2 linked regions of the Nothobranchius furzeri genome follow. The protein of the gene in region 1 interacts with the protein of each later gene in a pairwise test. Links are inferred from orthologs where the notes say so. Each region holds a gene or a part of one and is shown on either strand. Other genes may lie near its edges. The genes, in order: rxraa and nr0b2a.

Region 1 (3,822 bases):
GAAAACCATGTGGGTTAATAAAGAGGCTGGGGATTAGTTTTGATTTGTTGACTAAATTAAATTCTGTCACACAATAAACTTTGTGTAATGTCTGTAAAAATATTTTATCTCAGTTCTGAGAAATGACAGAGTAGTTTGAAATTTATCTTTGTCAATTTTTTGTTTATTTTGCAATTAAATGTTTTTGTGTGAATTTAGATCATTTTTAATGCATGCATTAATTAAAAATTGTTTTTTTATACTTACCTGAGTGCTCCAGCCCCCTTGCTTCATAAAAATGTTTATAGAATCTTTGTTCTGTTTAATTTCTCAGCTAATCTAGGTGTATTTTAGGTATTTTTATTTTACCCTAACCCTTTACTTTTATAATCTAATAGTTGATTTAGTCTCCAGGGGAGGGCAGGGCACATCTTTTCTAGCAGAAGCTAACCATTAGCATTAGCAATGCTGCCACATCGCAGACTTCCGTCAGGCTTGTGTTTTTGTGAGATAAAACATCATTTTTACCCAAGAAAAAATGGCAAAGGGAGGCGATGGTAGAGTTGCATTGCTGTCAGCCAATCAGAGGCAAGATATCCGCTGAATATTATGTATGACCTGCTGGCACAGTGAGGCTTTTTTTTAAATATATTTCTTGCTAATGTTAACCATGGCAATAACGTTGCCATAATAACTCGAAAATGTTGGGATGAGCACCCCAAAAACATGATAATGTGGTGACATGGGGGTGAGCACCCCCAAAATTATAATACACCATATTATCCACGGCTGAGACAGTCGTTTTGATGTAACGTTTGTGGGGTGCACGCTTCCCGAAGAATAATATAAAAGATAATGAATCCTCTGGTTAGGATCAATAAGGGCCCTGCCTGCGGTGGCAGGCCCCTTAATAAAAGTTAAAGTAAGGAGTCAGACTCCAAATCCTACTGTCCAACCCACACACTCACAAACACACTCCTCCAACTAACTTCTACTTCCTGAAACATGAGCGCAAGAGCCTTTTTTCCACAGAGAACAACTCACAAGGCATTCATTGTTGAAACCAGAGACCACTGCAGATGTGTTGAAATAACGAGTGTAGAGACCTACCCATAATGCATTGTGGCTGGTTACTTACATGAACCAAAAATCAGAAAAAATACAGCAACTTACTGTTAAAAGGTAAGATATACCCATAATACATTACAGTTATAATGGCATACTTTAAACAGAAACTATGACAGTTTTACTTGGAAATTTTGATATATTCACTTGTAAATATTCCCAGCCAAGAAAAAGGAAAATAAACCTTTCCTGAAAACCAGAGATAATTTTGTCCAAATTTGTGGGGCTGCATATGACAGCATTACAAAGGATGGATAGTTCATTTCATGATTGCTTATCGTGAAAGTCTATCATGATTGTTTATTAATTTTAAAGTATTACTCCTTCCTTCATAGCATTGTATCACTTTTATCCTCAATGTTAGTTTTGATGATCATAACCAGAGTGCAGAAGCACGAAGAGAGTGTCAGAAAAAGAAGTGGAAGTATTAAAGGTTTGTCCATTAGGAGAAAAATAGATCATCATGTGATCACGTCCTGTCTTTTACTTTAATAATCACCACATTTACTAAAGCTGCTCCTGAATGTGACCCAGGTTTTTAATGACTCGATCCACGTGTCCCTGTGGTATCCAACGTAGATCTAGAACACTGATTCTCGGTGTCCAACATGATGTTCAGGCCATGCCCAGGCCCAACTAACCTTGGTTCATTTTGCTGCTTGATTCCTGTTAATTAGCCGTTTGTAAAACTGGTCTGACTGAGGGAGCAAATGGCTCTCAGGCTGCAAATGAAGAGGGAGGATGGGGAAGGGGGGTGAGGCTAAGAGGCTAAAAAGGGCTCTTCGGTAATTCCTTTCCCACACTGCACAATTTAGTCCAGTCCGGCCATTAAAAACAAGTGTTCATTCATTGTCAGGCAATGGTGAAACGCTTCGGTGACCATTGGTGTTCATCAATGACGTGTTTGTGTTGCGAATCAAAGATGTGTCTTTCATTGGAGTTTAAATTAGCGCAGAATGGGGCGACACATGTTGGTTTAGGGTTAAAACTTAATCTGCAAGTCACAAACCTGTTTCAGGGAAAGATAAAATGAGATTGACTCATTTATGCCCATTCAGCCAACATTTGTTTGAAAATGTTTTAGGATTTTTCTGTAATGAGTAAAAACCTCAAGCTTTGTTATTCTATGGCTGCTGAAGACGATTTGGAGAAACAAAAGTTGTGACAAAAAATGTTTTTTTTTTTTTTTTTGTTGGATTCTCACTTTTGTGATTTGTGAAATAACTGCAAACAAATGTCAACATTCATGTGAATTTTTTGTCCCGCTTTAGCAGCAAAGTGTCTCAACTATGTTTCAATTTAGTTTCGATCTGGTCTCCAACTCCTCCCACGGTTGTTTCGCATTCGTCACACATTCTGACTTAGGCCTGATTTATACTTCTGCATCAGTGCGGAGACACGCAACGCCATTATGCGTCGGTGCAAGGGCTCTCCGATGGGCTCAGAGGGCGACGGAGACTTCCCCAACATTTTAAACATCTGTCGAAAGTGACAGAGACTGCAAGCTTGTGATTGGTCAGGATGCCGCTTCGTGTAAATTCATCACCAGCACCGTCGTTGCCCCGTTAAAAAGTAAAAAGATATTTAGCGGCAGACCCAGAACAGATTGAAGAACGCATTGTGGTAAAACTGAAAATATGAATGTTCATTCACCCATGATAGTAGGAGTACAAAATATGGAGCAAACGTGGACGGAAATTAAAGGAAAAATGAGTTTAGAGGTGGCGACCACATGAAGAGGTGGAGGAGAATGAAGGACAAATTTGTCCGTGTTATAAAGTCTCTGAAATAAATAAACACATTAGTAAATGCACTATCGTGGACCGGATACATGAGTGTGACGGTGGCAGTATACCACAGAAAAACGCTACGCCCTCTGTGTTCCTGGCGGGGAATTGTTTTGCAACACTCTGCTGCCTACGCTTAAGTTCACATGTAAAAACCTTTCCAACACTCCGTGTACATCTCTCACGTTGCGGAGCTCATGGAGAAGTATAAATCAGCCTTTACACAGACTAAATCACAGAGTTCCCAATGAATCCCAAACACTTGTGATGGCTAGATCTTTGAGAGAAAACTTCTAGATTCAGCTGTTATTCAAATTTTTGCCATAATATTTAGATTTTTGATTTTTTTCACTGTTTGAATGAAAAAAATCCGATTTTAAAACAGAATATGTTTGCAGGTTTGTTATAGTTGTTTGTTCTTGTGCTTGTGTTTCAGATTCTAAAGGTTTGTCCAACCCAGGTGAAGTTGAAGCTCTGAGAGAGAAGGTCTACGCGTCTTTAGAGGCCTACTGTAAACACAAGTACCCCGAGCAGCCGGGCAGGTGGGATTAAAATCACAAACATGAATGTATAACTAAAACCTAGCCACGTTGGTTACAAAATAACCAGCATTAATCGTTTTTCTCTGTTGATTCCTTGTTTTATCATCAGTACTGACGCTTGTGTTGTTTCTGAACAGGTTTGCCAAGCTGTTGCTACGGTTACCGGCGCTGCGCTCCATTGGGCTCAAGTGTCTGGAACACCTATTCTTTTTCAAGCTGATCGGCGACACGCCCATCGACACCTTCCTCATGGAGATGCTAGAAGCCCCTCATCAGATGACATAGTAGCAGTAAACCCTCCTAAATCCATCCTCTCTCCTCTTCCTCATGCCCCGCCCCCTCCTCACAAACATCACCTCTGGGAAGAGAGCCGGGCGTTTTATTGAGAC
Region 2 (3,818 bases), on another chromosome or scaffold:
GGGGCCGACTGGGGCTACCCGGCCCGGGCCGACCCGGTACAGATGGGAATGGCCCATTAGATTCACCCAGATAAAGACAATAAAGTTTATTTCTCACTAAATAGAATATTTAATAAGAAATCACAATCTAGCCATAGGAACACCACTTGGTGTGTGTGTGTGTGTGTGTGTGTGTGTGTGTGTGTGTGTGTGTGTGTGTGTGTGTGTGTGTGTGTGTGTGTGTGTGTGTGTGTGTGTGTGTGTGTGTGTGTGTGTGTGTGTGTGTGTTTGCGCTGACTTCCCAATCCCCACTGTCGCTACACACTTGCTTTTGAGGATTGCTGCAAAGACCTAGTCAGTGACTCGATGCCGTCTGCTGAGTTAGGAGCTATATAAATAATCTGAACTGAAGAAAAACATGTACATTATTGAGATTAGTTGTGAAATGGCCAACAACAAGAGAATGTAACATTTGTAAAAACAATAACACTATTTCTTTTTTGATCAAGATGCTTTTTTAGATAAGTTTGTCTCACAAACGGAACATCTGCAGTTAGAATGCCTCATTTCATTTCAAATGTGTTGACAGCAAAATAAACATGTTCAAAAACTTCTACGTAAATGCAGCTGTTACTCAGGAACTGGGCAAAAGCAAATGCAAACAAAGAAACTATAGAAGCAGACATTTGTAAAACGGGTTAATTACGTTCCAGATCACTAACAAACACTTCTGTGCATGTTTCAAATGAAAAACTGGTCTTACACACGACCCTTACGATCACACAAACAACCTTTTAATCTTCTGTGTAATAATCGTGTTAAAGATCGAAAAGGCAGAATTAAAACGCAAATCTTGATGGATATCCATTAACGGTGTGGAACACTGAAAAAAAGTTTTAATTATTATTTCTGATTATAATCGGTCTCCGAGTGTTTCGTTCATGCTGAACATGAAAATAGTCTCCTACACCTAGGATTTGAAAAGCCTGACAGATCTACGCCACGCTGTCACCTAACATTCATGGACTCACCCTCCTTGACTCGCGGCTGTTGTTGGCTTAGCATCCAGGAAACAGCAGAGAGGTAGTAGAAGCTAACGTTAGCACAAGCAACTCCACCACACAGCAGACCTCCTCCAGGCTCGTGTTATTTGTGGAGAGAAAACATCAACGTTGAAGAGCAAACAGAGTCAGTGGTAGAGTCGCGTTGCTGCTAGCCGGTCCGATTTTAAAGGTTAGTAGGTGAAGTGGTTATAAGGTTGAAGTATGCTTTGGGACTTCTGAGGATTAGATGCATTAAGTGTACATTTTACCGTTTGTTCCCACCCCAGAGTTACAGGTTAAGCTATCAATGCAACTTGCCCCTAGGGGGCTCGCTACAGCGATGAACTTGTTTTATATTCTTCCCGAAGTCATTTGGAATCATTTCAATAGTTCCTTTAGTCATCACACACTGTTGAAATTCATCTCCGCATTTGACCCATCCCCGTGGGGAGCGGAGAACTGCAGCTGTGGTCGGGAATTATTTGGTGGTTTTATGCTACTACTACTGTTTCCCTAAAATTGAAGCATAATTCCCACTGTTCCCGGTTTGGAAACGTTTGTCTAAACTAAACTACGTTTGATGAGAACACGATGTGAAGGTCAACGGCCTCCTTTGTGGTCTGGCCTCCTTCCAGCACTACAGGTGTGAGCTGGCGGGTGCAGTGACACAGCGTGGGGCTGATTACCTCTGCAGTCCTTGGTAGCTTGGTACTGCCTGGGTTGATGACACTGCCTTCCAGATAAGGCCAATCCCACTTGATATCCATGTGTGACTCCAGCAGCTACTTCTCAATGAGAAAAGCTTATCTGTTTCCCAGGGTTATTCCAGCAGTCACCTGGCAGAGCGCGCGGTTGTTTTTCACATTGGGTGTATTGACATTTCAAGGTCCACTAAGAAGGGAGGGTTGGCCTTATAAATAAGACTGGAGGAAGCAGCAGCTCTCAGAAGCTCAGACGGAGCCCGTCGTGGCAGAGAAGAGGTTCAGAGGAGCAGCCGCATCGAAGAAAGATGGATAACAGATGCCAGTGTTCCGCTAACAAACAAAGGCAGTTAAACCCGATCCTCTACAACATCTTGAGCCAGATGGACAGCGGTAGACCGACTCCAGACACCTCCAGCCACAGTTCCGTTCCTCACAGATGCAACTGTGAGACGCGGCGGAGAGTGTGCTTAAAAAGGCCGTCTGTGGTCTGCAAAGAGGCGTCTGCAGTTCTGGTGAAAACCGTCCACTTCATGAAGAACTTGCCAGCGTTTAACCAGCTGCCACCCAGTGACCAGTTTGCACTACTTAAAAGCAGCTGGGTGCCACTTTTTATTTTGGGTTTGGCCCAGGAGCGCGTGGACTTTGAGGTGGCGGACGTCCCTGCTGACAGCATGCTGAAGAAGATTCTCCTGAACTGCCAGGAGAGCCCTGAAACAGAGCGGGAGCAGCCAACCATGGCAGGCATCAGCAAACTCAAGTCGTGTCTCAAAAAGTTCTGGAGTCTAGATGTGAGCCCAAAGGAGTACGCTTACCTGAAAGGGACCACGATATTTAATCCAGGTATGTACTGCGTTAACTGGATTCAGACAACAGATAATCCAAGGACTCGTTTGTCAAGCAACAATTCTGGTTTTCTCTCAAACAGATGTACCAGATTTGAAGGCAGGCCTGTTTGTCGAAGGCTTGCAGCAGGAAGCTCAGCACGCCCTGAGCGAGGTGGTCCAGCTGCTTCACCCTGGCAACCAGGAGCGCTTTGCTCGGATCCTCCTCACAGCCTCCATGCTGCAGGGCATCACACCCAGCCTCATCACCGAACTCTTCTTCAGGCCTGTGATAGGCCAGGCCAACCTGCTGGAGCTGCTGGTCGACATGCTCTTCAGCCGATGGGAGGGGTGGTCCTCGGGATGGTGACCTCCATGCAGCGTGCTTTAGAGGCTTCTATAAAGCACACTAGGGTTTTGACTTTCGTCCGCTGAAGCTGAGGTCACTTCACCGTCTGAGCAGAACTCCTGAGAGGTTTTTGAGTTTTGATCCTACGTGTCGATGAGCTCCTCTGCTGTAAATAAGCATCTGCATTTCCAGAAAACTTGAATAAATATATTTTTGTACACGACTGAGTCCGATCCGTGGATCCATCCTCCATTACATGTTGTGCTCAGCAAACTTTTCAGAAAGTCAAGCGTAAGCCTGCGCGTTAAAGGAGAGAATCTAAAATTAGAATGAAAACACACATTTGTGGCTTCAAATGGAACAGAAAACCTTTTTTCTGCCTGTACTGCTGTGCTGTGTCTCCCTCTAGAGGACGTTTGGTGGAAGTTTTTTTTTCTCAGAAGACTAGCGGCAAATATTTTCTTACTTTTGCATTTCTCACAAAACCACAGCATCAAGATCCCCCCACCCCATCGTCACAAAAAGGGACAGAATGGCACGAACGCTAAACTCAGCGCAGTATAAAAAAACACTGTCTGCATGTAGTTATTTGAGAAATCAGGCTTAGTCATCCTACTTTGTGGTATGTTAGTTGTGAAACCCTGTCTTTACATGACAACTCGTACAGGTAAAACAGGAATGTGCTGGTGGGGGCGGTGAGCCGGTGGAAATGGGGTTACGCGTGGAAACGGCAACACAAACAAGACAAAAGGAGAGTCCAAAATGCTTCAAATCGAGTGCAAAGTGGAAAAAAACTACACATTTTTGTTGCTGCAGCAATTTTTCTTTTCAGCAGATATGAAATCATCCAAATGTTGGAGTTGTTAGGATAAGGTGGCTGTAATCTGCTAGATTTACTGAAAACTTAGAACCCGGTGCATTC

The links.
Region 2: the proteins of rxraa (region 1) and nr0b2a interact in a two-hybrid assay, tested with the Homo sapiens proteins (2 studies listed by BioGRID and IntAct). The link is inferred for Nothobranchius furzeri from reciprocal best matches to the Homo sapiens genes RXRA and NR0B2.

Annotation. Positions count from the first base shown.
Region 1 is NC_091746.1:41,707,065-41,710,886, reverse strand, and holds part of rxraa (retinoic acid receptor RXR-alpha-A), read left to right. Parts: intron 1-3,327; coding exon 3,328-3,433; intron 3,434-3,570; coding exon 3,571-3,718; 3' UTR 3,719-3,822. UniProt on the Homo sapiens protein: Receptor for retinoic acid that acts as a transcription factor.
Region 2 is NC_091745.1:40,694,118-40,697,935, forward strand, and holds nr0b2a (nuclear receptor subfamily 0 group B member 2a), read left to right. Parts: upstream 1-1,592; 5' UTR 1,593-2,031; coding exon 2,032-2,566; intron 2,567-2,651; coding exon 2,652-2,917; 3' UTR 2,918-3,119; downstream 3,120-3,818. UniProt on the Homo sapiens protein: Transcriptional regulator that acts as a negative regulator of receptor-dependent signaling pathways. Specifically inhibits transactivation of the nuclear receptor with which it interacts.